3 linked regions of the Medicago truncatula genome follow. The protein of the gene in region 1 binds, or shares a complex with, the protein of each later gene. Links are inferred from orthologs where the notes say so. Each region holds a gene or a part of one and is shown in the gene's direction. Other genes may lie near its edges. The genes, in order: serine/arginine-rich splicing factor SR45, SNW/SKI-interacting protein and serine/arginine-rich SC35-like splicing factor SCL30.

Region 1 (10,572 bases):
GATTCATAATTTCTTTAAATTTTAGACCTTAGATTTCAAGCTTCATCGTGTTACATGCAGTATCTAGTGCTTCAATGAACCTGTTTTTATATCTTTACATGTTTTTAATTCTCATATGGTACCTGTAGACGGATGTCTATGCTACTAAACAATGGTTTTAGTATTTTAATTGGAACTAAACCTTAAATCTGGTTTCCAATGCCTTTTCTTTGGCAATCTCATTATGCGAATGTCATTGGCCAGACATTTCGGGATATTTTCTTTCAGCCTAATCTCTACCAGTTTATATTTCAAAATTTTCTGTCCTGAATAAACAACGAAAAATTTAGGGAGGCCAGAAATATAGATCTTGTGGTTTTATCGGGCTTGTCAAAAGAAGTCATTTGAGATATTTAAAGAGTGAAATTACAGGGTTTGCAAAATCTCTTGCGATTGCCAGCTTGCAGAGTTAATAGCAATATTTCTCATTCTCATTTTTCTGTTCTATTTGGTGAATATGTTCCACCTCTGACCACTTACTTCCTTGGTCTAGGTGGCAAGCCAGGAGACATACGGAACTTTGGGTGCCATTGTGAGGAGCCAAACAGGTAGCCGACAAGTTGGTTTTCTCACAAATCGTCATGTAGCAGTCGATTTAGATTATCCAAATCAAAAGATGTTTCATCCTCTTCCACCCACATTGGGACCCGGGGTTTATCTTGGGGCAGTAGAGAGAGCAACTTCATTTATAACTGATGAGCTCTGGTATGGAATATTTGCCGGAATAAACCCAGGTAACATAATTTCAAAAGTCTGATTGATTTAATCTGATTACTTGCATTATTTTCGCTACACATACTCATCACATATCATGATGTGTTTCCCCTCCAGAGACGTTCGTGAGAGCCGACGGAGCATTCATTCCTTTTGCTGATGACTTTGACATGTGCACTGTTACTACCTCAGTGAGAGGCGTTGGAGATATCGGTGATGTGAAAATTATTGACCTACAGTCTCCAATTAGTACCCTTATTGGAAAACAAGTAGTTAAGGTTGGAAGAAGTTCTGGCTTGACAACAGGAATTGTTTTGGCGTATGCCCTAGAGTACAATGATGAGAAGGGTATATGCTTTCTAACAGATTTTCTTGTTGTTGGTGAAAACCAACAAACTTTTGACCTTGAAGGAGATAGTGGAAGTCTCATAATGTTTAAAGGTGACAACGGTGAGAAGCCACGACCAATTGGGATCATATGGGGAGGGACTGCTAATAGGGGCCGCCTTAAGTTAAAAATTGGGCTACCTCCGGAGAATTGGACTAGTGGGGTTGATCTAGGACGTCTTCTTAATCTACTTGAACTTGATTTGATTACAAGTGATGAAGGACTTAGAGGTTTGTCTATCTTTCACTATCACTATCACTATCACCATCATCATCATCGTTATTTCAATTTATAATTCTCAAATACGGGGTTAGAACTTATATTAGGTTGTTGTTCTCATATATGAAATTGTGTTGATGCCTATAGGGCATAGGGTGGGTAATTGAATGAATTAATCTGATGATATGATTTGGTAGGGTAATAGTGTGTTTAGCTATGCATTGATCAGCTGTATTCTTAAATGTTTCAAAAACCAGATTGAACTGTCCAGTTCAAACGGGAACCGACAAGTTCGCTGGTTGGTTTGATCCCGGTTTTACCACAGTCTGGTTGAACCATAGTCAAACACAGTTTGATTCAACCACACACATTTTAAATTTATATTTTATTCATCATTTGGTTCAACCGTGATCTCTGGTTCGATTTTTAAAGCATTGTTTTCTTGTTAAAAACCAACTAGCATATAATCATTTTTTTTTTTAATTTACTATATTCCTATGTTTCTGTCTCCTAATAGTGAAGATAGCATTGAAAATGTTGAAAACAATTTTCTATCAACTGATCAGGATTATCTTAATGAAGTGAAACTAGAGGTTAAATTCTAAAATCAATATCTTTTTGTGTAGTGGCGGTGCAAGAACAAAGGACTGCATCGGCTACATTTATGGGCTCTATTGTTGGTGATTCCTCAACTCCTGATGGTATGCATCAGAAAGATAGAGTGGAAGACAAATTTGAGCCTCTTGGTCTTCAAATCCAGTCTATTCCCTTAGGAGTTGAACCTAACAGCCAGGAAATGAAACCATCAACCATGGAGGCTGAATTTAAATTAGAAGACGGAATCAAGGTAGGTGGTCCCAGTATTGAACATCAGTTCATTCCGAGTTTCATCGGGCGGTCACCGTTGCACAAACACACTGTGCATGACAAAGCTGCAGCAGCAGAGAATTTATCTTCATTGAGGAATGACTGTAATGAAGATTTATGTGTTTCGTTGCAGCTGGGTGATAATGAAGCAAAGAGAAGACGTTCTGAGGCATCTACTAGTACCGAGGAACCTTGATTAAACAAATTATTAGCTTAAGCTTGAAAAACTGACTTGTTATAACAGTTAATCACCCTGGAATGCGTTGTTTATGACCATTGGGAATTTGGGATACTGTATTTGTATGATTTAGCAGCTTTGACAGAGGCTAATGACAATGATATCAGTGGAACTCACAATATGAAGTTTTAAGTGAATTGTGGACAGAGGGCCATTCAAATCTTACTATGGTTTAATTTATGTTGTAAAGTTACTTTTCTCATTAACGTGTGCAGACTTTGCCAAGAATGTGATGGCTTAGAACTGACCTAAAATGTTTTTAGGCTTAAGGAAAGAATATGAATGCAAAAAGCAACCTCAAAAGTAGTCCTTTGTATTGAGCAAAAAAGGATTTGGCCTTCTAAATCATTCTTTCCGCCATTTTTTTTTAAACTTGGTATTTGGGTCTAAGGATATGCTAATTTGAAGGATAAACGTCGTAATGACTAACGAAACAATAAATGTTGACATCTAAAGTATTCAAACTTGAAACTCTTACATAAACACACTCGCATAATTATGAAAAAACATTCGTCCAAATTTATTCATTCAAATGAAAAATAATTATGATGTTATTCAATTTTTTTTTCTTTTGAAGTTAAATTAGCCCGCTAAATTAACACCGGAGATAATCCACTCTCATGTTTTTAAGTTAATACCACCAGCCTAACCCGAATGGAAAGGGGTGTAATTTTCAAGAAATAAGTGGAACTAAAAAGTAAGTCTCAAATTTTTATTTTAATTAATAAACTTGCTTGGTTATGATGATGGTTCCATGAATGAAATTAACCCATGAAACTCGGGTAAACCCGACCCATTCAAACTTCATCCTGACCCATAAAAAATGGGTAAAAATAAAATAAAATAAAACTAAAATCTGTATCGTTCATTCATTTTCTTTCTTTCTTTCTTCTTACCTCGATTCACTCCACACAAATCCAACACTTCACTACCAGCTAGGGTTTATAGAGGGTTTCACGCTCTCTCTCTTCAACAATGGCGAAACCTGGTCGAGCTCGTCGCTCACCACCATCAGGTTCCGTCTCCGGATCTTCTTCTCTCTCCTCCTCTTCCCGTTCCTCTTCTCGCTCCCGCTCCCGTTCCAGATCCTTCTCTTCCTCTTCTCGCTCTCCCTCCCGCAGTTCCAAGAGCCGTAGCCGTAGTCCTCCTCCTCCAAGACGCAAAAGGTACATCCATCCTTCGATTCAACTTTAATTCTTGCCAAATCGTTCAAATTTTGAACCATTAGAAAAATCGAAGTCAATTTGATTTTTTGCGTAGAAGAACATGCATGAAAATGTTCAAGATGAAAACAATTATGATTTTCAGATGTTAATTTGAGAATGTCATATTTTTCAGTTTTTAATTTTCAATTTTGAGTTCGGTTTAGGTTTTCAAATAGGAGAAGTTGGAAATGGAAATCTGCCCAGTTTTAAATTTTAGTCCAAATTATTGTTTTGATGAATATGATTTTGATCACTGTAATGTAAATGTGGTTAATTGGTGTACACTGTACATTATATTTTGAACTGTACGCACAAATCACGGTTCTTTTGGTTAAATATTTCGTGGGAGTAATTTCCATGTTGTTGATTTTAGTAAAGTTTATATTTTTCAGTTCATATTGATAGGGTAGTATTTTTGTTGTGTAGTTCTGCTGAACCAGCTAGGCGAGGTCGATCTCCTCCTCTTCCTCCACCTCCACAGTCTAAGAGACCTTCTCCTCCTCCAAGGTAAACTCATTTCAAATTTGCTATTTCAATCCAACTTTTTTCTAGGACACTTCTTGTATTTGTGTATGTCCCTCGTGGAGATGGAGACTGGGAGTTTTTATTACTAATCATATTTTTCATATGCCATATCTTGACGTTGGAGATATGAAATTATTCTTTCATTTTTGCTTTTTATATACTATATCTTAACTCTTGTTGAAGTTTAGCATGGTATGTCTTGTTAGGTAATAAGATACAAACTAGTAGTGGAAAACCGCAGTAGCCAATTTATATTGTCAACTGTTAACAGTCTACTATATATTGAGGTCATCACCGACTAAAGTGATATATGTAAGATGGCCAGGGATATGGATTATATACAAGGTTGTCAAAGTTGAGATTCTGCATAGGATTGGAAAAGGGGTAAAAGATTGTAAAACGTGAGATCACGAGACAAAGGATTGTAATATAAACATGATAACAAAATTATTTAATTAATAAGTATAGTAATATTTCTTTTAAAACTCAAGTCAGAATTTTGATGTTTATTTTGTAGTTATTGTATTGTTGAAATTTCTAAATTTATTTTATATTTGAATGTAATTATAAAAGAAGGGATATAATGGAACATTATAGCACAATTATAAAAAATCCTAGTCACATGTTAGCAAGAGATATAAGACTTAGATAGATCTTATAAAACTTAGGCAATCCTCATCTTACATGCTTGTTTTATGTCATTAAGTTGAATTTGCCCAAAATTTAAGATGGTATCTTAGATCTGATGTTCGACCACCGACTATATTGGCCACACTCCAAACTCAGTAGTGCTGAGCGAGGATGATGTGTATTAGAAAAACAGCGTCCGCCATTTACTAGAGATAGTGCTTCATAAGATCTTATGAAGTATGGACTCTCCACACTTTATAAATTAGTTTTGTGGGGTTGAGTTAGTGTTGGGTGGTAAAGAACCAGCACGAGAGTAAAATAAGTGTAGCGGAGATGAGAATGTTTCATTCAGAGAGAGAGAGAGAGAGAGAGGGAGGGAGGGAGGGAGGGAGGGAGGGAGGGAGAGGGGGAGGGAGAGGGAGGGAGAGAGAGAGGTGTAGCGGAGATGAGAATGTTTCATTGAATGTGTGGTATGAGTGGACATGATAGAATTAGAAATGACAATATGAGAGAGAGAGAGAGAGAGAGAGAGAGAGAGAGAGAGAGAGAGTAAAATAAGTGTAGCGGAGATGAGAATGTTTCATTGAATGTGTGGTATGAGTGGACATGATATATGTAGCGGACCCAATTTTCAAAATACTGAATATACATTGGTTAAGTTTGTTTTTATAATTTTCAGTGCGGACTTTTTTCATCATATCTTTAAGATGTGGTAAATTTGTTAGAATATTTTTTTATTTTTCATCTCACATTTTTAAATTTAATTAAACATGCTGTGATTGTGAGCCTTCTAAGTTCAACAATTGACAAGTTTTCTTTCGATTTGTAACTTCTATCTTTTGCTATGTTTACTTATCATGCTTCATCTCAGGAAACCTTCTCCTGTACGTGAGTCTCTTGTTCTCCACGTTGAGAAACTCAGCAGGAATGTCAATGAAGGCCATTTGAAAGAAATTTTCAGTAAGTTAAACTCTTTCACTTCTGCTTTCGTCTTCAACTGTGAATCGAGATACATTTTTCATTTGAAACCAGTGTCTCATGGTATTAGGATCCAAAATTTAAGCCCAATGCAATTTTTCTGTTTCTTTTATTTTAGTTTTGATCTTTTTGTCATTTATACTTCAATATAAGTATTCATATTATTAACTGGGAGCATAGTTGCTTCATATCTATGCATACACTCTTGAAATACCAATAATCGAGAGAAACTTTTTAGTAGCCTCTAGTAGCTTGTGTGTGTAATTGGAAGGGAACTTTTAGTGACCTTTATATCTTAAGGAGCTCATATCCTCTTTTGCTGACCTGTTTTCAGGTAATTTTGGCGAGGTTGTAAGTGTGGAGTTGGTGATGGATAGAGCTGTAAGTTTGCATTTAATTTGGCATCATAGTTCTAGAAGAATTTAGAGTCGTAGGTTTTTAAATTTCTTTTAAAAAACTTTCCAGGTTAATCTTCCAAAAGGATATGGATATGTGCATTTCAAGACAAGAGGGGAAGCTGAAAAAGCATTATTGTACATGGATGGTGTAGGTTGCTTTTGCCCGAGTTGGATTAATTTCCACAATCAAGCTTGTTGGCTGCCGCATTTGGAAATTGATGCCTTTGTTTTTTTTGTTATGCAGGCCCAAATAGATGGCAATGTTGTTAAGGCAAGATTTACTCTACCTCCAAGACAGAAAGCTTCACCACCCCCAAAAGCTGTTGCTCCAAAGAGAGATGCACCCAGGACTGATAATGCTGGTGCAGAAGTTGAAAAAGATGGGCCAAAGCGTCCAAGAGAATGTATATGCTTGATATTTGTTGAACATTTTTTTGTTTTATATTTATCATATTGGTGGTTTTTATATTGGTATTGAACTAATTATTCATGGTACCAGCTTCTCCTCGGAGAAAACCTCCTCCCTCACCACGAAGAAGATCTCCTGTGCCTCGAAGAGCTGGATCTCCAAGACGACCAGAATCTCCTCGCCGCCGTGCAGATTCTCCTGTTCGTCGTCGATTAGACTCTCCTTATCGTCGCGGAGCTGGAGACACACCTCCTAGGAGGAGACCTGTGTCTCCCGGAAGAGGTCGTTCTCCATCTCCACCACCAAGGCGCCTTAGATCCCCTGCAAGGTTGGCTTGTGATTGCATGCATGTTTTTCATATACAATTTCATTATACAGCCGACTCAATTAATTTTCATTTTTGTAGGGTATCACCTCGAAGGATGCGTGGAAGCCCAGGCCCAGGTCGGAGACGTTCTCCTCCTCCACCTCCAAGACGCCGGTAACCATATTTTGAGTGCTTATTTTCCTCGTTTATTGTTTTTCAATTTGCATTTTAACATGCCATTGATTGCTCATTGGAAAAATAAATGTTTTTTTTATAGTTCACCTCCTAGACGAGCCCGTAGTCCTCCTAGAAGATCTCCAGTTGGTCGTAGGCGTAGTCGCTCTCCAATACGTAGATCTGCACGCTCACGCTCAAGATCATTCTCACCTCGCAGGTAATTTTGTCTCATGCAATATCTCAGTTCTCTAAAATGATTTATTTTTTTTTAGCATAATAATATTTTGATAGAAGCATAAAATAAAGTGTTGTAAATGAGCATGTGAACATATGATGTTTGGACCCGAGGTGTTTTGTAGTTATCCAAAATTCGGCATTCCCTTGAATGGTCATGTATGTAATCCTTAGTGAAGATTTAATTGATGCTTATTATGTAGGACTGAATATTTTATATGATGTTTGGACCCGAGGTGTTTTGTAGTTATCCAAAATTCGACATTCCCTTGAATGGTCATGTATGTAGTCCTTAGTGAAGATTTAATTGATGCTTATTATGTAGGACTGAATATTTTATAAAATGAAAAATGAATTTTTTACGTGATATAATCATGGCAGTTGGGGATTTCGATCTTGTTTCTTAGGAATCAAGGTTCCTTTAAAAAAAATCTTGTTTCTTAGGAAGAAATGCTTATTTTACAGAATACTTCCAGTGTCCACCAACATTTGTAGTGCATATGCATCCATAAATGCAAAGTTTTAATTCCTAGTCATGTTTTGATTGATTGAACTTTGCATGATAATACTTTGAAAATGTACCAACGCCTGGGTAAAATTTTCTTATTGACAGAGGCAGGCCACCTATGAGACGGGGAAGGTCATCATCTTACTCTGATTCGCCAAGTCCTCGCAAGGTTTGTGCCTTTTACTTGGTGTAGATGTCATTATTTTACATGGTCAATGATTCTAACATTCATAACTTTGACAACAGGTATCCCGGAGATCAAAGAGTCGCAGTCCAAGAAGGTAATGTGTACAATATTTGGTATAATGGTTTTCATGTCTAATCTTTTTTGTTATTATTTTTATTTGTTTGGTAACATTCACTGCCGTCTTTTCTTCTATTCTGATTACAATCTCTGGTGCCTTTTTATAGTTACTTCTGATACATTTATCACTACCATATTTTTTTAACTTGTTTATAATGCAATCATTATGACCTCAAACAAGATCATGTAAGATTCGAGTTGTTTTGAAGAATTTCTACTGGCAACTCTCTTTTTTGGAGAACCTTATAAAATATAATGCAAATGAAACAGCACTATTTAAAGCTTGAAAGTCGTAATAACCAAATGCAATTGAATGAGCAGCATCTTTTTTGGTGCCTGTCAGACTCCTACTTTCTGCCGAATTTAAGCCGGAATTTGTCGCCTAACTTTGGTGTTTCATTGTTCAAACACAGTACAAGGATGCATTTTTAAGTAGATGTTCATATGCTTAGGATTGATATCATATCTCTCCTCAATTGGCATTTTAAGCCATTGGATTTTGTGTTCCATGGTTTTTGAATGACATTCTCGTATCAAATTCAGCTATGCTATAGCGCTATGGAAAGATTGCAGATTGCAAACGATGTGGGTTACGACAGATTAGATTTTAAGAAATGGATGTTATCTTATTTCAGTCCATTCCACCTTATACCACCAATTAAAATATACCCTTGTTAGAAGAGTTGGCATTTGTACATTTTCATTAAAGGATATTTTGTCATCAGTAATGACAGCTTTAAATTTAACTTTGTAAATTTGCTTAGAATCACGTTTGTTTCTTTCAGTTTTATGGTTTTATGATCTGCATCTTCATTTTGGATTCTTTACTAATGTAAACTGCCTTCTAATTCAGGCCTTTGAAAGGACGAGCCAGTAGCAACAGTAGCAGCAGCAGTTCACCACCCCCAGCTCGCAAACCATAGATAATTCCTGTATATCTACTGTCTCTATATTGATACATTTATCAGGATTGTGTACCAGCAACGAGAAGTTATTCTAGGTTAAGTTGTTAAGGGATATTTGTCGCATTTCTTCATGGCTGTCTGTTTCCTAACATGTTTTCAAATTAGTGCTTTAAGTAGTTTGAAAACCGTGTTTCACTTTATTAATCTGCATTTCGGTTGATTTTTGCAATGCTGTTCTGAAATACAAAATTTGGGAGACGGTATTTTAACCTCTTGCACCTGTGGAGTTCTATGTAATTGACAATCTGAGTGTGCAAATAATGTGTATGTTTGGTGTGGATCTAGTTGGAAATTTCTGTATCAATGCTTTTTAGAATTAGTGGGAAATGCCAAACTTAGGTGAGCTATTTGTCTGACTATGCACCTGTTTGCTTTGCGTTTTCCTTAAAACCGCGGCAATTCACCACGTTAAAAGCAAAAACTTCAAAAGCTAGCTTCTTGAAATCATGGCACTTTTGCTTTAGAAATCCTGTAGCCGTGCTTTTGTTGGTTGCAACCGCCTAACCAAACAGGCATATGATAATGCAACGCCTTGCATGCCATTTATAATTTTACGATTTTAAATGTTTTTCTGTATTGAATTGCAGAGTTTGAAAATTGTTAAGGTAATTGGAAGATCTTTTCTACCCTTACGTTTTAAAAAAAATCCTGCACGTTAACTTATGAAATAGTTTTGGGATGAATATTAGGAGCTCCCTAAATGAACCACGAAAAATTTAATGAAATTCGTGTTCAGAAAGTGCCTCTAATGTTTAACTTTTCTTATTCTTCAAAACATCACAAGAGGTAATTCAACTTGGGACACTTTTTTTGGTAGTGATCAACTTGGGACACTATTGAATGGGAAATGCGGACATGCCTCTCCGTTAACCTTTGCTGGTTCTAGTATTAAAAATTTATATTTTGTATTGTAATGAACTTAAAAAAAAAATGGTTTTTTCAAATTTGATGTCAAATATCATTTCTCTAATAAAAAGGGGAAAAGTTTAATAGACAGACATTTGAGGAAATAGAAAATAATGGTGTGTAGTCTACGGAGAACTAACACATATATGACTAGACACTCCACTTTAACAACACGTGAAACCCACCTGGGCTGGTCCTAGGTTCGATTCTTCTTAATAGTGATATTTTTTTATTGTTTCATTTCTTTAAACTTTTACTTTTGAGGAACGTTTCTTTGTGTTTGTGTGTATATAGGAGTGATTTTAGTTTGAATTTTGTTTCTCAATATTCATTTCAAACTTAATGTATTTTCTGAAATTTAAGGACTTAATGTATTTTTTGAAATTTAAGGAGTATAAATTATATACAAGTGTAAATTTTAAATCAATTATGTACGTATACAGGAGTGATTTTAATTGAATTTATGTTCAAAATTATATGTCGTAATTTGATTGAATTCACTTGCAATAAAGTTTTATAAAGGAAATATAAATACATACATTTTCCTTCTTCTTTTTTTCT
Region 2 (10,572 bases), about 23 Mb from region 1:
TCATGGCGTTCTTCAATTTCTTGAGTCTTCCTTCACAATATGATTTATGGAAACTATTTGGTACACATCTAATCTAATAGACTAATACACCTTTATTCTCATAAGCTTATCTCAATTGGTAGGAATAATGCATAATATATGCAAGGTTTAGGATTCAAATTCAGACACTACACTATCAAAAAAAGACTGATACACCTCTTACACATTTCTAGCAGGATATAGAGGATCAAGATGTTATGATAGATATGATATGATATAACTGTAATGTGATAAGCAAACAAAAATAAAGAGAAAAAGGATGTTGAAAATAGATGTACAAATATTTATTCACTTTCCGTAAAAAAATAAGTATATGATTAATTCTTTTTTTCATTTGTGAATACATGATTTATTCACTTGTTATATTGTTTACATTTTTCCAAAGGTTTAAACACATTTTTGACCCTCTAACTTTGCACTAATTGTAATTTTGGCCCCCTATTAAAAAAAAACACATTATAGCCCCCTAAGTTTCTCCCCTATTGCAACTTTCAATTTTGGTCATTTAAGATCAACTATTCAAGACAGTAGAAGATCAAGAAACCGGTCCCAAGCCACATTATTTGCCCTATAAATCTGAAATTTGCTCAACAAAACACCCACTTGTTTTTACAGTATTGAATGGTTGATTTTAAATGACAAAAATTGAAGGTTGCAACAGGAAAGAAACTTACGGGGCTGGAATGTGGTTTTTTTAATAGAGGATCAAAATCGCAACTAGTGCAAATTTATGGGGCCAAAAATACGTTTAAGCCTTTTCCAAAATGTTACTTGTAGTTGAAAAAAATAAAACATAAACTGTAAATTTGTTTTGCATGTATGAAATATGCCTTGACAACTTCAGATTCTAGGCCCCTAAAAAATACTTCAGTTTCTAACTAACTCTTTATTGATTTGATTTAGTTGATAAAAAATTGGTCCATATCCTATAATTGTGTTGGTTCCATTGTGATGTCAATGTGATAACCTTTTTAATGGACGTCTTATAAGTATTTATATAAAAAATTCTTTAAGCATTGAAGCGTGTTTTTTTTTTGTTACAATTGAAGCATGTTACAATCCAACTTACTTAAACTTTTTTTTTTTTTTTGGTCTTAGATGAAGTGGTAATCCATTGAAAATAAACACACACACAACTGTGAGGTCCCGGGTTCGAACCCGGGTCATGACGTCCGACCTTGCAATTTCGGCATTTGCCAGTTGAGCTAGGACTTCTAGACACTTAAACTTTTTTATAAAAAAAAAAACATATATATTCTATTTATATATAAATTAAGCTAACTTCATATCAAATTCAATTTGGGGGAAGAGAAATGGTCATCCTTGTCATCCATGCCTCGAAAGCCTTTTTTTTTTCTATGAGATTTTCTAATTTAATATTTTTTTTAACAACAAATATTAGTATTGTTAGTATTATATGTGTTGAAATTTTGGAAGTCTTACGACGTTGAATGAGTAATCATATTAGACTTTTGAGCAACCAAGGGAAACACTATTTTTACTTAAAATATTAGATGTGAGTGTTTTCCATTATACTCACTCCCTCCCTCTATTTAAGAATCCATTCGATTTTATTTTTATCCTTAAATATAAATCTCTTTTTAAATTATTAGATGTATTTATTTTTTTTTTTCCTAAACATACTCTTAATTAATACTACTAACTTGTCTTGAAATTTGAAAAATCAAATTTAATACATATACAAACAAAGGACAATTTAGTAATATTAACACACAAAACAGACACATTATTTACACCGACAACTTTTCATAAGAAATGTGAAAAAAGCAAAATGAGTTTATATTAAGGGACGGAGCGAGTATGTTGTTCAACTTCTCATATCTATCAATGTTAGCTTGTAATTCAGTTTTTTTTATTTTTTGTTACAGCTTGTAATTCAGGTTTGACAAAGCATAATTTTTTTTTAGAGGACCTAAAATCATAAACATACTTTATCATTTTCTTGCACTTAATTTCATGTGTAGAGTAAAAAAAAAGACTTTAATTTTAAACTAAATTTTCGGATTATTTGAAATCTTAGAAAAACTCAAGTTCCGAGTTAGAGACCAAGAGTTATTTAAGAATAATGAAAATATAAGTGAGATGAGTTTTATGCTCCGTAAAACTTTTCACACGTGCTTTTAATCAAATTATGTCAAATAGATGAATATAAAGAGTATTCTTGAACATAACTCAATTAATAACGGTATGGGTTGATGTTTGAATAAGAGATTTTTACTTATTCCTTTTAAAAAATGAATTCTAGTCTTTAAGCTATTTGAAAAAAAAAATAAAGATATTTAAAAACTAATCTTAAAAAGTGGCATCATGAAGTGATTTTGATTAAATCGATTTGTATATAACAAAATTAAATTGTTAATGTATGCAAATTAAATTAAAGATCATTCAACCAAGCTTAAATAGTCAATAAACTCCACCTAAAATGAATTGTTTGAAAAAATTAAAGTTCATTTTTAGATGAAATAGTTTTTTATCTGATTTTATTTACTTCTTAAGAAAACACTCTATATTAATAAAGTTTTTCCCTATATACCAAATGGTAAAAAAAAAAAAAAAGAAGAAGATAATTTTAAAATTTACATACCAACTTTGGCAGTTAAAAATGTGTTTTAATCTATGAAATTCGGATACGTGATACGAGTGTGGGTATGATACGATACGAATAAGTAAATACGCAAAAATTTAAAATTGAAGATACGATACGACTAAAATACATTAACAATTTTTTTATACAAAAACTTATATGAATGTAAAACATTCGAAGAAAAAAACATTCATTACTCTTAAAAGTCACAATTTTTAAAAATAATACATGTGATCAAAATAAAAAATAAAAAATAAAATTTTCATATAAATAATATTATATTTTCATTCATATATTATGATATCAACATAAGCATCATTAAAATAACGCAACACAAATTTTGTCTAATGTTGATTAATTAAATCTTCTCTCTCATTACCTTCATCCACAAAAATAAAATAAAAATTTAAGTGGTTCATCCAAAAATAATTATACTATTTTAGATCTAAAGTTGAATCATATACACTTCCATTGAATTTTCATAATATAGGTATTTGATTGAATTTTCATAATATACGTAGTTGTGAAGTATTTTATAAGCATCTTTATGTATTTGTGAAGTATCATCTAAGTATTTGCTAAAATATTTTTAAAAAATTAAAATAATTAATTCCAACACTCCATGGGCATATCTGTGGAGTATCCATATTTGAATCCGATATGGATGCGTCTCATGGAGTATTCGGGCTTCATATGATTTAATTTATGACTATTATTTTTCTCACCCTATCTACTTCTCACGCGCCATATAATTTTTATAAAATACCCATGAGATTTCAGATTATAAAATCTGAACACAGTTTGGATCTGTTCGGATCATACAATCCGAAATATGTTTATATATAATCAGCAATTAGAATCTCTTCCATTTTAGCAGTTTTGAATTTTGCTTTTAAAAAACATGTCAAATAAAATCATAAAAATACCACAAAAAAATTCTAAAAATCAAAATTAAATTAATGAAATTTTTTTTTTTCGAATTTTTATGAGATAAGAAAAATTGGTCTAAACGATGGAATTTTAAATTTTGAGGGACGGAGTCTCGTAAGAAGTCCCTTCTATGGGAATTTTGATCCTTGATTTTTTTTCTTTTAATTTTCTGGGGAAGTATCGCAGCAATCTGATCAAGTATTGCAAAAACCAGATTTTTGATAAGAACGACTAAAAATGATCTAAAATAAAAGGATGGGGAAGATTAATATGATCCTTAAACTTGTTATCCATTTTACAAAAATACTCATAGCCTATTTGGATGTGCGGTAAAAGTGTCTTTCTCTCGTCCCAGGGTAACTTGGCCGTGGTTTTAACAAGTTACAAATTGTAACTTCTTGGCAAATGTGGTACTCCACCGCTAAAACAAACACTGCATCAGAAGTTATGCTGGTAGAGTTAATATTATATAATCCGAACTATTTTTCTATTGAAAAAGGATGTTTAGGGGTGTCCTGATTCTATAATCCGAAAAAGCAAGGAACGCGCTCTTTTTGTTAAGTTTTCGGATTTAAAGAATCTAAATTGGTGAAAAAGTCATTTTTTTTTCACTCCATAACAGATAAAAAACTCAATTCAAATTATAAAATCCGAAATCACATAGACATTTTCCTACAAAAATAGGACGCACGAGAAATAGTTTGAGTGAGAAAGTAATAGTTTTAATTTTTTATATATAACATAAGATTAGTCATTAGTGTAAAGAGTTTATTTTTTTGAGAGAAGTGTAAAGAGTTTATATGTGGTTCATGAGCTGGTTTTATTATTGAACCGGTATAACTAAGAACCCGGGTTAATCGTTATCTTGTGTATAATTTTTTACTAGACCGACATTGGTTTATCTATATAAAAATCAGAAATTAAAAATTAACAAAAATCTCAGAACCCGAACGAAACACACTGAAGATTGAAAAGTCTCAAAGGAAAATCAAAATCGCAAATAAACCCTAAATCGCGTCACCGTCATCTTCAACCACGCGCCACTGATCCTCACTGCACCGTCCTCCGCCGTTCACAAGTAATATTTCTTCAACCAATTTGTTTCTATTAATTCTTATTTTAATCGACGTTAATTATCGATTCCATAAATTAGGGTTTCGTTTTTTTGATTTTTTGAAATTGATTTTTGTTGCAGAACCATGGCGGCTCTGAAGGAACTCCTTCCAGAACCAAAATCATCCACAACAACATACTATGATCATAGCAACGATCCATGGTTTAAGCAAAGATTCACTGCAACGGAAGAGGAGAAATCCGCTGCAATCGCACCCAAAATTGTACCACCGTATCTGAAACGATCTGGTTTTGTTCCACGAAAGGTTGAGGATTTTGGAGAAGGTGGAGCTTTCCCGGAGATCCATGTGGCACAGTATCCGCTTGATATGGGAAGGAATAAGAATTCGAAGCCGGGTTCGAAGATTCTTCCGGTTACGGTTGATGCTCATGGTAATGTTGCTTATGATGCTATTGTGAAGCAGAATGAGAATGCTAAGAAGATTGTTTATACCCAGCATAAGGATTTGATACCGAAGATTTTGAAGAATGATGGAGATGATGAAATGGAGGATGGTGAGGACGAGGATGCTCAGCGTGAGATTGATGAGACTATGGAGGAAACAAAGGCGGCGCTTGAGAAGATTGTGAACGTGAGGCTTAGTGCTGCGCAGCCGAAGAATGTTCCGAAGCATAATTCGGATTCTAAGTATATAAAGTATAAGCCTTCGCAGCAGAATGCGGCTTTTAATTCTGGTGCGAGGGAGAGGGTTATTAGGATGGTTGAGATGCCTGTGGATCCACTTGAGCCTCCAAAATTTAAGCATAAGAGGGTTCCTAAGGCTTCGGGTTCACCTCCTGTGCCTGTGATGCATTCACCTCCGAGGCCTGTTACTGTGAAAGATCAGCAGGATTGGAAGATACCACCTTGTATTTCGAATTGGAAGAATCCTAAGGGTTATACTATTCCTCTTGATAAGCGGTTGGCTGCTGATGGGAGAGGGCTTCAAGAGGTTCAGATTAATGATAATTTTGCTAAGCTTTCTGAGGCTTTGTATGTCGCAGAGCAGAAGGCTAGAGAAGCTGTAGCTATGAGGTCTAAGGTGCAGAAGGAGATGCTTTTGAAGGAGAAAGAAAGGAAGGAACAGGAGTTGAGGGCTTTGGCTCAGAAAGCACGCTCAGAGAGAATTGGTGTGGCTCCTCCGGCTGCTGCTGTTCCCGTTGTTTCGGAAAAGAGTGGTGTGGATGATGGTGATATGAGAGTTGATTATGACCACAGGGGGGATAGAGGGGATAGAGACAGGGAAAGGGAAAGGGAAAAGAACTATCCCAAGGAGAGTCGGGAAGAAAAAGAGGAGCGGCTGGGACGTGAGAAGATTCGTATGGAAAGGAGAAAGGAGAGGGAGAAGGAGAGAAGGATAGAAGCTAAGGATGCTGCCATGGGAAAGAAGAGCAAGATTACTAGAGATAGGGATCGTGATATAAGTGAGAAAGTTGCTCTTGGTATGGCTTCCACCAAGCAAGGGACAGAGGTCATGTATGATGAGAGGCTATTCAACCAGGATAAAGGAATGTCTTCTGGATTTGCCACTGATGATCAGTATAATGTGTATGATAAAGGCTTGTTCAATGCACAGCCAACACTTTCCACCCTGTACAGGCCGAAGAAGGATGTTGATAATGAAGCTTATGGAGGTGCAGACGAGCAGCTGGAGAAGATTATGAAGACTGATCGCTTTAAGCCTGACAAATCATTTACAGGGACTTCTGAAAGGGCACCTCCTAGGGATAGGCCGGTTGAGTTTGAGAGCGAAGAAGCTGATCCATTTGGTCTTGATCAGTTCTTGACAGAGGTCAAGAAGGGTAAGAAGGCCATGGAAAATGTAGGTGGGGGAGGAACTATGAGAGCTAGTGCCGGATCTTCAATGCGAGATAGTTCTGATGGAGGTTCTGGCAGGACTCGCATTGGATTTGAAAGAGGGCGTTAAGTGGATCAGTGTTGAAGGCTAATTGTTATCATGCTTAGGTTGGCATGTCTTTAAGTGGATTGTAAGGATAACGTGGTTGAGTTATTTATCTTACTTTTTCTTGCCCCAAGCCTATGGACCACCTTATAAGTGGTGAAATGTACTTGTATTTTGTTTTGAAACCTTTTTATGTTATTTATCTTTCCATGGAGTTATATTCAGTGAAATGCAATGTTCAAATTTTAAAGTAGATCTCCACTATTTGAATGAAATGTATTTGGCTGTTACAATGTACTCCATGATATATCTAGTTTTTTCATGCCTGATTACCGGATAATACATTTGCTTTCTGCCATTGCTGTTTGGTTTATGCCATTAATGGACTGTTATGGCTGGTAATGAGGATATTGACTACAGCTGTTGAGACTAGAGTGGAACTGTTGGCTTTCTGTTTTCATGTTATACTAATCGATGGTTCTCTACTAGAATGAAATGTAATCGATAGCTTTAAATTTATTTAACGAGTTATCAATTTTTTCAATACTTTATAATCCATTTGATTGCTTGTTATTGCTGTTTGAGTTATGCTATTGAAGGAGAAATTGTCAATTGAGGTGTAAAACAGTGTTTAATCATTACCTGACCCAAGGATTCAAGTGGATGTGTATTTTTTTTTTTTTTTGAACTAAGTGGTTGTGTTTTTTGATTTGATAGAACTGTGTATTAGTAACCCCTCCATAGGACAACATTTGATGCCCACAAAAAAGGATGGGGAACAATATTATTTTTAGTAGTTCTTGACAACTATGTTGAACTAACTTCTCTAGATTTGTGCACATGAAGGCTCAACCCCATCTGCTGTATATCGTGGTTTTACTACTTTATAGTCTTGGGAAAATTATATCAGACCATCATGATTGTAATGTGTGGAGTGTAGCCTGCACTAGAATTGAAAATTACATTAGATCATCTTTGCATACCATTTTCATCCAAGCTTCCTGTCAGATGGTACAGGCATATGATTTTTTGTGACATATTTCTATATTGTATAAAATTGGCTGATTAGGGTGTGCTAAATTGTAAAAAAATGCTTGGTGCTTAGGAAGTTGCTATTAATTCTAGTCATGTGTTTCAAAAGGTGGTGGATAATCCTGTCAATTACTTCTGTAGTGAGTTAATTTTTTCCAGTCCTGCTATTTTTTGAGGTAGTTTTCGTAAAGTCTAACAAATTTGTAAATTGTTCTAGCGCGAGGTTTAACTAATAGCCTGATGTAGAACTTATTGTGAACTGTGTTTTACTAAATTACAGAATGAGTCCTTGCATCTTCTCTGTGATTGCTCTTTCTCAAGCTTTTGATGTTTTCACTAGATTAATTAAGCTTCAGCTACCCAGTCTGTCAGTTGATTCTCATTCTCTGGTGTAAGCATTTGTTCTTTAACCGTCATCAGATTTGTATTGTTTTCTTCTAGTCACTCCATGAGTTTTCTGTGTTGAAATGGTTCTTTTGATTATCGATGCTGGAGTTGCCAGTTCCGAAAGTGTTATGCCGAATGATACGGTAAAGACTGATGAAACTGGGGACACAAATAAGGAATGAACCTCAAAGAAGAGCAAGAAGAACTAGCATGTGGAAAAGCCTCCTAGCAAGTCACAAGTTAAGAAAATGATTTCTGTTTTACTTCTGAAAACATCCATCATTGCTATTCTCTTGTTTTGCGGGGTGCCTTCTATGTGGTAATTTCCAAAACATCCCTATCATTCATTTCAAATTCATAATTAATACATTTTTGAACTTCAGGTTAATACTTAATACGTTCTCGAACCATTTGATTTTCAGATTATCTTATTATTTTTCTAATACATCATTTTTTTATTTAACTCAAATGTATTTCATAATTGTTAATTTGCAATTTACTTTTGCTTTTAGATAAAGTTTTGGTTGCTTGTTAAAACTAAGCTGGTCATACTCAATTAGGTATATAATGTCTTTTATTGATCTTTTGTTTTTGTCTTTCTGAACTGAACAACGTTCAACAAGGCATCTTCATGCTCCAATGTGTATGTCAATAAATAAAGTCTTTCTTGATGTTCACTGTGACCTAATTATCTTGATCTCACCTGTAAGTTTAGTATATGGGTAGCAGCAGAAGCTTAATCAGCTCCTTCTATTGTTTTAACATCACGTTCACATGATGGACTTCATGTTTTTAATTATTTTTGAGAGGCTTATCCTTATCCTTGGTTGAGCCATAACACAGAATGTCATAAATCTTCTTTTCATGGTATTTCCATGTTTTTCTACTAAAACATTTGAATTTGCTTCTATACACACTTTTTATCTGTGTTGTAACTCTTTGGAATGAACTATCAGTGTCTTTTTTTCTGACAAGTTCAACATACTGATTAATGATCTTCTATCTAAAAAAGGTTGTGTATAATAAGCTCTGATGGTTAGCTTGCATGATTTTCTGTACTAATTCTGAAATTCATGTTTTAATTTTTTCTTCTGCTATGTACAAAATGTGATGTGATGTGAGTTGCCACTGAGGCTGCCGATGATGAAATTTCACTATTCTGTCTTTTTCAATAGTTTGAGATCATGGATTGTGAAGTGCAATTGAGACTAGAGATGGTTTACTTGGGCATAATCCATATCTTGTAAACAAAATATGGTTCTATGAACATTTTGGTTCTTTCTCATTATATAATCTTCTTTTCCAAACTGAACTCATTATCCAGTTCAGTGCACTAGGTTCTATTGACCCGAATTGTCAGTGTATTCATAACCAATCTGAAGCTTGGTTCCATTTCTTCTTGGGCTGCGATGATTTCCCAGCACCGATTGATCTGAAGCAAACACCATTAGCTAATAATGATTCAATAGCAAATAATTTAGATGAGCATTGGAAGAGCTCATACTGTATCACTTTTTTTTATTAAGTATTCATTTGGGATTTTAGTATCTCTAAGAAACTTTGAGACTCATTTATTTTATGCTTTGATGGATTTGGGATTTTATGAACACACAGATCGAAAACAACAAAGTGGCACTGCTTAACCTATTTCAGAGCTTTTTAGCTTGTGTTATGGCTTTTGTTAAAGGGTTAAATATGTTTTTGGTCCCTACATTTTACGCGATTTTGAGAATAGTCCCTACATTTCAATAAATGTTTTTAAAATCCCTACATTTTTCCTCCGTTAGCGTAAATAGTCCCTGTTGTCAAATTTCTAACGTGATGTCAATGTTGGTGGTTCAATCTCGCCGGAAAACGGCGGGGAACTTCACCACGGTCTTTCTCCGCAACGTCGTAGATGCGGATCGCCGGTGTTCGTGACATTTCCAGTGAAATATGTTGGTTTAGATGGAAAGATTTGGAGGCCGAAAGCGATGATGTTATCGTTGAAAGTGTTTGCTGTTGCGGGTGTGGAAGGTGTTGTGGTGGAGATTTGGTGGGGTGGGTTTGAACTTGTTATGATGGCTTGTGTTTCATCAATATGACACTGAAGGCAGGGACCAATTGCACCAACGAAAGAAAAATGTAGGGATTTTTAAAACATTTATTGAAATGTAGGGATTATTCTCAAAATCGCGTAAAATGTAGGGACCAAAAACATATTTAACCCTTTGTTAAATAATCTAAAACACAGTCGGAATGTAAGATCAGACAGCTCAAAAATACAACTCCTTGATTGCATAACTACATATAATCCATTTTCATAGTACTACACTTAGCATCAAGAATCATTCAATTTCAATCCAATGAAAATCTTGCCTGGAAGATCCTTCATACTATCTTTGCATCCTCCTCTGATTTCACCTTAGCTTCTTCTTTAGCCAATTCAAGTGCTTGAATCAAACTTTTCAAATAAACTTGTGCATCCTTAGAAGAAGTCTTTGGCATCAAATGCTCAGCAACATCAGCTGGAGTGATTTTAATTTCCTTCAACAATTCACATATTGTGCCAAACAAATAATG
Region 3 (10,572 bases), on another chromosome or scaffold:
CCATTTGGTGTATTGTACGCAGCCTTACCCTGATTTATGGGGTATCACAACATTCAATACATTCTTTATTTCAAAAGCTATACTTTCAATAAGAAAAACTTTATATTTTTTTAAACTTGTGTGGCACTGGTTCTAGCATTAACGTTGTTGTATTGTTGTGCTCTGTAGCTTTTAGTTTTTTTAAATGATTTAAATTTCTGTTTTAGTGACCACTTTATATCTTGAGATGTTTACCTCTAAACACAAATGTAATTTGATTCCATTGACATTGTTCTCATTTTTCCGGCAATGATTCAAGTTGTTTTCTTTTGGTGTTTTACTTGGTATTCTTAAGAAGAAGGGTAGGATATTAACTTGCTTGTTAAAGGATGGGATTGTTGATGTTTCCTTGATTTTTTTTTATGCACTGATTCTTGTTTTTCTATTTGTTGGAATTTGATTTTGCAGTTGTTATTAAAGTTGGAAGACAACAGATTGATTGAAACTGTTGGTATTCCTGTTGAAGATGAGAAGGGTTCAGTTCGCCTGACAGCATGTGTCTCATCACAGGTGTTTGACTTACTTTTGAATCATCGATGAATGAGTTGTTGTTTTCTTTCTTTGCAGTAATGTTTGTGTTATTGATCAAGAAACTGATATTTTCCATTTGTTTTTGTTATGTCCTTCTGTTATTTGGATATTTAGGTAGGTTGCCCTCTGAAATGCTCTTTTTGTGCCACTGGAAAAGGCGGCTTTTCTAGGAATCTTCGGAGCCATGAAATTGTTGAGCAGGTTTCTGTCCATACATACATTAGAGTAGTTTGATGTTAGATTTCCCACGTGATCTGTAAATTTAGATTTAATTAAAAGAAATAAAAATGTTAACAGAAAAGAAAGGAAAAAGATCAAATAAAGCAATGAGATCATTTTCGGGTTCGCAATTGTTTTTAAGCGAGCTCTTTATTTAAACAGGTCTTGGCCATTGAGGAGGTGTTCAAACGCAGGGTGACTAATGTAGTCTTTATGGGAATGGGTGAACCAATGTTAAACCTGAAGGCAGTACTTGAGGCACACCGTTGCTTGAATAAGGTGAATGAATGCCTATCATATGTGACATTATTTCCTTATCAAATGCTTGCTTGTAATTGTAACAGTTCTCTATATGATATTTTTAGAGTTTAAACCTGCATCTGCCATCTTTGCTCTTAACTAGGTTAACATTATCATTTAAACTCTGGGACTCATTGGTTGTTACTTATTGGGGAAAAAAACCAAATCTGCATAGAATAGAAATAGAGCCTGAAATGAGTTTATAATGAGTGGTACTCCTCACCTTATAGATCGGTTTTGTAAGGATGAGCTAAGCCCAATATAAAAATCTAATATTACTCTACTGAATTTGATTCCATCTTAGTAAGTGTTAGGTTCTCTTGCTACTGAATTGGTTGTTTTACGTAATATTATCTTTTCGTGAGGAGGAGGGGACATGGATTTTTTTATGGATCTTCTTTTTTTCTTTCCAGAAGTTTTATAGAAATTAAAACAGGCCAGAACATAAGAGAGCAAATTAGTTATGTTTTATGTTTGGTACATGTTAAAACTTAAAAGTAGAGCAGAACAGTATACACTTGCAACGTAAAAAGTGATATGTTTTAGTTCCATTGGAAAGGATAAACGAGATAGAACAGAATAGACAGTCTCACATGCATAAAAATATTTATGCATACATATACTCATCCGTCAAAAGAAATCATGTATCAGCATCAGTGTTGTCAAGTAGCGGGTATAACAATATAGCGTAGCAGAATTTGAACTAATCGCTTTTGCTCCGTGATACGCTATTTAGTGCAAAATGTTGTTAAATAGCAACTATATTTGTGCTATAGCACTGTTGCATAGCAGAATTTGAACAAACAGCTATCTTCTGCGATTGGTGATTGACACTACTGATCAGAATAACATTTTGCTTGGTCTTATTTCACCTTTTATATTTCATTTTATTATGATGATAGAGAGCATATAGTAATAGCATGTAAGTGTGCTAATGTTGGATTTTGGTTGGGCTTCTTGTAGGATATACAAATTGGGCAAAGAATGATGACTATCTCCACCGTGGGGGTTCCAAATACAATAAAGAAGTTAGCTACTCATAAACTTCAATCCACTTTAGCTGTGAGGTAATTGTCCTTGATTCTGATCTTGTCAGTCAAGAAATAGAACTTCACAATGAATAGGCAATATGCCTTTATTTCATGCCTTTCTTCGTTCACTGTTCATACTCTGGTGTTTGGTCTGGTCTGATTTGTGGCTGCAAAATATATCATTCGGTGGCTTGTTTTAGTGGATTCTTTCATACTCGTTCATGTAAATAATTCTCTTTCTAACATATGATTTCCCTTTTGTATCTTACTTCAGCCTACATGCTCCTAACCAGAAACTAAGGGAGACAATTGTTCCAAGTGCAAAGTCTTACCCATTGGATGCACTTATGAAAGACTGCAAGGAATACTTCCACGAAACAAGTAGACGGGTTTCCTTTGAATATGCACTTTTAGGTACACAGAAAGTTTCCAACAAATTCTTGTTTCTCCTTTGTACAGTAAGGTTAATGAAATTCTTACGATGTATTTTCCACTTTCCTGGCATTATGTTTGAGCAGCCGGAATCAACGACTCAGTAGACAATGCAGTAGAACTCGCTAAACTACTACATGAATATGGCAGTGGTTATCATGTCAACCTTATACCTTTTAATCCAATAGAAGGCTCTGAGTTTCGCCGTCCTTACAGAAAAGCAGTATGATAATTTTCTTATTTTTCATTCATTCTGATTACGATTTATAATTTATGTCTTGATGTATTCAATAATTTTAGAGTATTTAATCCATACTTTGTAATTTGGTAGGTGCAAGCATTTGTTAATGCTTTGGAGTCATCTAAAATAACCACTAGTGTACGCCAAACCAGAGGACTGGACGCAAATGCAGCTTGTGGTCAGCTACGGAACAATTTCCAGAAAACTCCTTTGGTCACAGAATCTGACAACAATCTGGAATCCCAGCTTCCAAATATGGACCTTGCAGTTACAGGTTGATAGTGTCAGTTTCGTGGCTGCTTACGTTATCAACTTTCTACTTATATGGCATATACTAAACAAGTTCGGACTAAAACAATGAGAGGTTTGATCAACCAAAATGAGTATAATCTCAATTACCAATTATGAAGGGATAGAGGTGTTTCCTGTTACTGCCTGAGTTGTAATGTCAACTTTCTTGCTAGCAGAGAAATGTGGAGAAACATCTATGTGGTTGTTAGCTCTATTTTTGTGGTATGCAGGTTTGGAAACTTAGAAAGTCTTTAGATTCTTTGGCAGCTAAGAGAAATTTTCATAAGAAACAACCTACTGGAAATTAGTTACTACCACAAGCAAATATTGTTGGTTATAAGTGATTAGGACTTTGTAGTTCATATGGTGCACTTGGGAGATATTTTTCATGTATTGGACCCCTTTTGCATTATATATTTATTTATTTATTTATGTCGCAACTGCTGATCCAGCTTGTAAAAATCTGACTATTAAAACAGATTTTTTCCCCCTTTGTTAATTTATTGTTTTTTGTTGCTGTTAAAACATAGGCATTGTTTGGAATACAAATCCTTTAAGTGGTTCACTATGCACCATGTCATTTTTACAATGTTAAAGTTTTCTAGTTTTTGCAAATTATAAATGCAAAATCTCACGAATTCAGATCCTAAACAGCTGCTTTATGGTATAGCAGTTGTATGGGAACCGTCAAGGAAGGTGAGGCCATAGAACTTCTTCAAGCTCTTCAATGAGCTAAGGAGTTTGGATTGTTTATTGTTATCATTGAGTTAAGGGTAAATCTTGTTCCCTCTCCTTGCATTGCTCAAAATCAGCAGAAAGCCTTTCCAAGAAGTTGGCATTGTGAAGGAAAAAATAGAATTTGGATTCCGGTAGAAATTTCATAATGTAATATAATTCAGTCATTTGGTAATTACAACACCTTTTTTCTTGCTTACTTCTAACTCAAAATACTCTTAGCATAAAGTACTTGAAGAATAGAATTTGCATAAACGTACATAAAAGTTTATGTAAACATACTTGAATTGAGTTTGAGTAAACCCTAGCAACCCAGAGTATACATGACTTCAAAAAAGGAAAAACAAAGTGTATATATGGTACATGAAATAAGTTTATGTAAACACATTTGAACTATGTTTACGTAGTTGAGTTTGTGTAAGTGTTCTCTAGCTGAGTTTGAGTAAAATCTAGTAACTCATATTTGAACTAAGTTTATGAAAAGGCAAAATTATAATTTTAATCTTTTAACTTAATTTCAGGCAATAATTTGGTCTTTTATCTCTTTTTTTTCATTTCAATTTTGTCCTTTTTATCTATTTGCATATGAATTTTTAAGCTTCAAATTCATGACTTTATTTTCTTATGGCCTCTCAATCTTTAAATCTATAATCTTTCATTTATCTTTGTTTATGAATATTTTATTTAAAGATTATAGATTAAAATTATAATTTTGACTTTATAAAAATGTACTTGAACTGAGTTTAGACAAATGTGCTTGAATTGATTTTAAGTAAAATAAAATCTAATAACTTAGAATGTTCATGAATTAAGTTATGTAAATGTACTTGTAACAAAAAAAAAGTACTTCATATAAGTTTGTGTAAATCTATTTGAAATGAGTTTGACTAAGATCTAGAATCACACTTTTCTCATGAACTAATTTATTCTCTAAGAAAAATAAAATTTAAAATAATCCATGATATTTTCATATTAATTTACAGAAAAAATTGTGAATGACCAAACTCAAAAATTTCAATAAGAGGTGTGTAAATTAAAAAAATTCCCTCAAAAAAAGAAAGATAATTAAAAATATATATATAATATTTACTTATGAATGAAACGGTGCGTTTGGAGTGGTCACGTGAAATCTAATCTAGGGTTTAAAATAGGTTTCTCAGATGAAAAAACAAACACATTCTCAACGCTTTCTTTTTCTTTTCTATTCTTTCCCGTGCATACGAATTTTTTGGTACTTTTCTCTCTAATCACTCAAATCAAGGTAACAATTTTCTAAATTCATAATCTTTTTCATCATTCCAATCTTTAATTCGTTTCAAACAACACTAAACACATTCGAATTCACGCTAATTTGCATTAATTCTTTGTTAATTTTGAAATTAGGGTTAGGTTAAGAGATGCGGAGGAACAGTCCAGGTTACTACAGTCCTCCACGGAGAGGATACGGCGGTAGGGGTGGCGGTGGAGGTGGTGGTGGTAGGAGGGGATATGGTGGTGGTGGTGGAGGTGGTGGTAGACGTAGAGAAAGCAACAATGGAAGTCTTTTGGTGAGGAACATTCCTTTGGATTGTAGACCTGAGGAGCTGAGAGCGCCGTTCGAGCGATTTGGACCGGTTCGCGATGTTTACATACCGAAGGATTATTACTCTGGGTGAGCTAACATTTGTGATCAACTCTGCGTAATTATTCATATTTATTGTTTGTGTTTTGTTGTTGTGTGTTGTTTGTTATGTTTGTGTTTTTCAGATTTGAGTTAGATTTGACAGGTTGATTGTTGGGTTGGGGTGGTCTGTTCTGTGTCATGTCTTGGTGTTGGGCCCCCTGTTTTCTTAAATTTACGATTTTGGTTCCCTATTTTATTTTTCATGACTTGGGTTCTTGCGAATTATTTTTTGGGATTTTGGTTTCTGTAATTGTTTTATTGTACTTTTGGGCGCTGTTTGGATTAACAGCTGATTTGCAGCTTAAAGCACAAATGCTTATGTATAAGATATTTCTATAGCAGAATGTAAAATAAATTGAAATTCTTTTCGTAAAATTTATAAGCTATTTTCATTAGATATCTTGGAGAACTTATGAAAATAAGCTGAAAACAGTTTATGAACAGTGTCACAAGCTAAAGCAACTTATTCCAATAGATAAGTTCATATAAACCAATCCAAACAGGCACTTGGTCTCTTAGTATTACGGTTTTTCCAAACTTTTGGTCCCCAAAAATCGTTATGTTGGAGACCAGAAGTACTTAAAATACTCAAAATTGAGGGACCAAAGTCTGAAAGTGCAAGGACTAAAACTGTAAAAGATAATATGCGGGGAGACCAAAATTGTGAATTTGAAAATAGATGGGACCAAAATGTAATTTTTTTTTGGTTTATAAGTTTAAACTTTTGCATTATGAATTAATTTTGACTGGTTTGTCAGGGGGTATGTTGGTTTGAAATTGAAGTTAAAACAAGCCCAAGCCCCACATTTGAAGAGAACTACTCACTCTTTAACTTGTTGGTTTCCAAGTGTGTTAATGTCATACCAAGATAGAGAATCTATATAATTACGCAACTCAATGAATACAAGTTTCATGCAAGTTGGTTGGTTGTCCTATTGAAGACTTTGTGAGGAGGTTTTTTTTATTTTGTGGTTGTGGGAAGCTTTGAATTCAAGTGATTATAAATACAACAAGAATGTTGAAGAATTTTTCAAGTCACTTTACTACTTGAATGTAAAGATAAGGCCCAGTCACAACTAAGCTTTGGATTTTAGCGGCTTTAGTAATTCAGCGTCCACTGCTGTGTGCATGTCTCAAGAGAGCCATTAATAGGTTGTCTAAAGAAAGCTATACTATGTAATGTGATTTGAGGTGGTTACTGTGGTATGCGAAGTCTGCCTAATCAGCATTTTCTGCAGTCTTTCTCTGCCAATATTTTTGTAGCAGTGTTAGAATGAAGCTCTGTTTTTTCCCGTACAGACAACCTCGAGGCTTTGCATTCGTGCAGTTTGTGGATGCATATGAGGCCTCTGAGGCGCAGTACCATATGGACAGACAAATTTTTGCTGGAAGGGAAATATCTGTTGTTGTGGCTGCAGAGACAAGAAAAAGGCCAGAGGAGATGCGTCATAGGACTAGTAGGTCCAGGTATGTCTTTTGATTTCTCTGCTTTGTCTGCCCTCATGTAGAAGATTACAAATCTGTAGTATATCTTACTTTGTCACATTTAAAGACCGCCCACCAAAAAAAAAAGTCCATTTATATGTATTTGCATGATTTTTGTATTTTACAGAGGACCAGGAGGGAGCTATGGAGGGCAAAGGTCTTCCTACCACGGTAATATTACTTTTACAAATTGTATTAACTTCTTGAAACCTATACTGAGCACACCTAATGCTGTTTATGGCTGAAGCATGTTTTAGATGCTAGATATGAAATTTGTTCCACCTGCACTTGTGATGCATATTGTTCTTCCACCACATTAGAATTTGTCCTTTTTGCTTGAATTTGACAATAGAATGATAGTGTGTGACATGGGTGCTTTATCTGAATTAATTTGACAATAGAATTGTGGCTTATTTAAGCCTATTTTGTATTTATGCTGATGTGAAGAAACAATGATGTATTTTTTTTCTCTCTATAATGTCATATCCATGTATTTCGTGAGTAGGAAATAGTATTCAGACTGTGTCCTTGACCTTTGTTGTCATAGTATTGATGCTCCAGAGATTTATTGTCAGGATTCCCGCTCCTATACTAAACTTTTCTATGTGTCTAAAAGTTATTTAACTAATTGATTTTAGCTAGCCTACTGAAAACCATACTAGATATAACAGGATTGGAAGACTGATTTTTGTTGGAGCGGTAGATCTCATCAATGATTGTTGTGATGGGGATACATATACTGCTAATTTTTCAAGGCGTTCATTGGGGACTGCCAATTTTTAAGCTACTTTACTAAGAGTATGCATAGGTGCCATGCTTGAAGATATGCTTTTTCATATTTCTTGTTAAAGTCATTGGGCTAGTTTTAGGCATAGAGGAAGGGAAGGTGGGGGTACTCAGAACTATGATAGAAGTAGGAATGGTATGTTGAATGTTAACTACAGAAGTCAAAACACGAGTCTTTATTTATATTAATCTATTACTGTATTACTCTACTAGACTCTTAATCCTAATGAAATATGTAAAAAATAACAAATCATGAAAGTAAGAGAATATGGAAAACTAATTTTAAGATAAAAGATAAGATGCTTTGGACATATTTTACAACACTAGATTCATCATTCATGGTGTGGTGAGGTATTTTTCAGATGCTATGACAGTTCTTTCTCCCATTCCTCAACTTTCGTTGACCACGTTTAGTCTTTTGATGTGCTAAATCAGCTGCACTTTATAGTTATACAATTTTTCATTCATCTTGGTAAATGTTTTCATATATATATATATACTCCCTCCGTCCCAAATTGTATGTCACTTTAGAAAAAATATTTGTCCCAAATTGTATGTCACTTTAGAATACCAATGAAACATTAATGTTACTTTTCCTATTATATCCTTAACTATTTATTACTCTTTCTTTTTTCAATTTTTTCATTTATCTTTCCTATATCATTTATTAAGGAATAATTTTGTAAAACAACTCATAATATCTCTTTACCACACAATATTAATTACATTTCTTAATATGTGTGAAATGCCCAAAACGTCATACAATTTGGGACGGAGGGAGTATGAAGCATTGTTTATATTGAATCTTAGTTCTTAGGTTGCCCAAATGTAATATGGCATTGCTCTGCATTTCTTACAAATACTTACAATTTTATAATCATGTCAAATCCATCAGGGCGTTCTCGATCTCGCTCAATTTCCAGATCAAGATCACCTCCTTATCACTCTGGTTCTAGAAACCGCTATCGCTCAAGGCAAGTTTCTTCAAATAACTTCCTTTTATATGTTACTGAATCACGAAGTCATGGTTTTGAATTGATATATGCCAGGTCCAGGTCCTTCTCTCCTGCCCCAAGAAGGCAAGGTGACTACTCTGTTTCTCCTAGAAGGCATGCAGAACGCCCTAGATCACCTAGAAGTCCTCCTAGAAGTCCTCCTGTGGAGCGAGATGCAGATCATAAACGCAGGTCGTATTCTCCTCTAGGTTATGGCAATGATGTTGATCAGAATCAAAGCAATGGATATGCTGAGTGAGCCCATCTATTTTCTGTTTAGCTTCTTTAATTGAATGTGCTGGGTTCCCCTCTCTTGCGCTGTATGTTTATACTTTGTTCTGTATAAAGGAAATCTGTGTACAAATCTGAGGCGGATAGAGGCCCGTGGAAGTCATCAAGATCACCCCCAGGATCTAGATCTAGATCAAGATCTGTTGATTTGTCACCTAGACGTGGCAGATGAGGTAAACTGTTTAATGTTAAGAGTATATTTATTAGGATATCAGTTTCTCTGTTTAGAATCTATTTTGATGGTTTTATTCATGCAGGTTGCACTGCAGGTTTATTGGCAATGCGCATTTGGGCTTATGTATAATTTCTTCAATTTATCAGAAACATGTAGACTGCTTAAAAGTTTCGAATTGTTGTGATGGATGGATGTATAATCCTTAAGCTTGTTATTGAAATGTTAGCGTATTATGATGGATGGTTGTATAATCTTTAAACTTGGTAGTGATGTGGGGCTTTTTGGACTTTGAACTTGTGTAATACCTATGTAACTGATGAATTGTTGAGGATTTTAAGCTTTTATTTTTCATGTCAAACACTCTTCAAATGATTTCAACATAGTTAATGCAGTTGTACGTCAACGACTGGTAACTAACATAGTACTAGGTTTGCTAAAATGGTGATTTTGCATAAGCTACAGTGTTGGGATGTATGTTTTAGGTGTGATTGATACCTTCATCTTGTCTAAAAGAATGTATAATGCTAGCATGTGTTACAATCACCATTTTAGCATGGGCAAGTGGTTAATTTGAAGTAAAAAAAAAAATAGAATATGCAATGATGTAAGTTTCAACTGCTCAACAGAACCAATTCTAGCAACCAATAAATGTTCTAAATCAATCATGTTGGACGAAGAACTTATTGTTGCAATTAAATTGGAGTTGCTTAACTCTTGATTGTTATGTCATCAGATGTGGTATCAAGTGTAACAATCTCATGGTTTCATTGATGTAGTAACTATAGGAACTCAAGTTTTACAAAATACGTCCATACCAATCAGAAATTATATGTTATAATATGTAGCCTATATAAAAGTCTTGTGACTGCTAGTTAGACTTGATTCGAGCGAGATACTCTGTAAGCATTTGTTCTAAATTTGTGTTTAAGGTCATAAATTTTGTTTTAGGAATGTAAACTTGAGAATATTGCATTTCCGTGTGATAAAAACTAGTAAAGCTCAATGTTCAAGGTTACTGGCATTTTCTTCTCAAAAAGGAAAATCAGAAATGTTCCAAGGTTCCCTTAATTTTGTTATTTAGTAAAGCTGAATGTTTCTTGTAATGATGAGAAAACTCAAATGTAGCAAGCAAGTGATTATTGTACAAGTGAGGATCAGAAAATGGAAAACGCGTAATAGCATTGATTGATGACTTTCCATTTCTTACGTGGCTAACTAACAACTAGTATTTCTTTATTTGTTGGATACTTTCAGTTTCACATTCTTTGCCTTTGAAGGTAAGGTGGCTTTGTCTTTGTCAAATCTTCTAGTTACACACGTTTTTGTCATATTATGGGTTGCTGATGTATATTGACTTT

What was found.
Region 2: serine/arginine-rich splicing factor SR45 (region 1) and SNW/SKI-interacting protein share a complex: the UniProt entries of both Arabidopsis thaliana proteins name them as parts of the spliceosome. The link is inferred for Medicago truncatula from reciprocal best matches to the Arabidopsis thaliana genes SR45 and SKIP.
Region 3: serine/arginine-rich splicing factor SR45 (region 1) and serine/arginine-rich SC35-like splicing factor SCL30 share a complex: the UniProt entries of both Arabidopsis thaliana proteins name them as parts of the spliceosome. The link is inferred for Medicago truncatula from reciprocal best matches to the Arabidopsis thaliana genes SR45 and SCL30.

The regions. Positions count from the first base shown.
Region 1 is NC_053043.1:34,988,756-34,999,327, reverse strand, and holds serine/arginine-rich splicing factor SR45, read left to right. Parts: upstream 1-3,334; 5' UTR 3,335-3,440; coding exon 3,441-3,631; intron 3,632-4,096; coding exon 4,097-4,177; intron 4,178-5,696; coding exon 5,697-5,785; intron 5,786-6,137; coding exon 6,138-6,184; intron 6,185-6,268; coding exon 6,269-6,349; intron 6,350-6,445; coding exon 6,446-6,605; intron 6,606-6,700; coding exon 6,701-6,938; intron 6,939-7,016; coding exon 7,017-7,091; intron 7,092-7,194; coding exon 7,195-7,311; intron 7,312-7,941; coding exon 7,942-8,005; intron 8,006-8,082; coding exon 8,083-8,117; intron 8,118-8,993; coding exon 8,994-9,063; 3' UTR 9,064-9,397; downstream 9,398-10,572. Other genes in the region: protein NARROW LEAF 1, read left to right, coding at 533-773, 871-1,371, 1,987-2,423. UniProt on the Arabidopsis thaliana protein: Involved in 5' and 3' splicing site selection of introns, and may bridge the 5' and 3' components of the spliceosome. Isoform 1 is required during flower petal development and isoform 2 is involved in root growth.
Region 2 is NC_053043.1:11,528,163-11,538,734, reverse strand, and holds SNW/SKI-interacting protein, read left to right. Parts: upstream 1-4,490; 5' UTR 4,491-4,652; intron 4,653-4,769; 5' UTR 4,770-4,773; coding exon 4,774-6,615; 3' UTR 6,616-6,931; downstream 6,932-10,572. Other genes in the region: AAA-ATPase ASD, mitochondrial, read right to left, coding at 10,381-10,572. UniProt on the Arabidopsis thaliana protein: Splicing factor involved in post-transcriptional regulation of circadian clock and flowering time genes. Associates with the pre-mRNA of PRR7, PRR9, ELF3 and GI, and is necessary for the regulation of their alternative splicing and mRNA maturation.
Region 3 is NC_053046.1:35,351,986-35,362,557, forward strand, and holds serine/arginine-rich SC35-like splicing factor SCL30, read left to right. Parts: upstream 1-4,937; 5' UTR 4,938-5,080; intron 5,081-5,202; 5' UTR 5,203-5,216; coding exon 5,217-5,470; intron 5,471-6,781; coding exon 6,782-6,949; intron 6,950-7,094; coding exon 7,095-7,138; intron 7,139-8,648; coding exon 8,649-8,727; intron 8,728-8,802; coding exon 8,803-9,003; intron 9,004-9,096; coding exon 9,097-9,211; 3' UTR 9,212-9,212; intron 9,213-9,296; 3' UTR 9,297-9,572; downstream 9,573-10,572. Other genes in the region: probable dual-specificity RNA methyltransferase RlmN, read left to right, coding at 448-549, 685-771, 952-1,068, 2,053-2,156, 2,395-2,534, 2,639-2,775, 2,884-3,072. UniProt on the Arabidopsis thaliana protein: Involved in intron recognition and spliceosome assembly. Probably active at the 5' splice sites.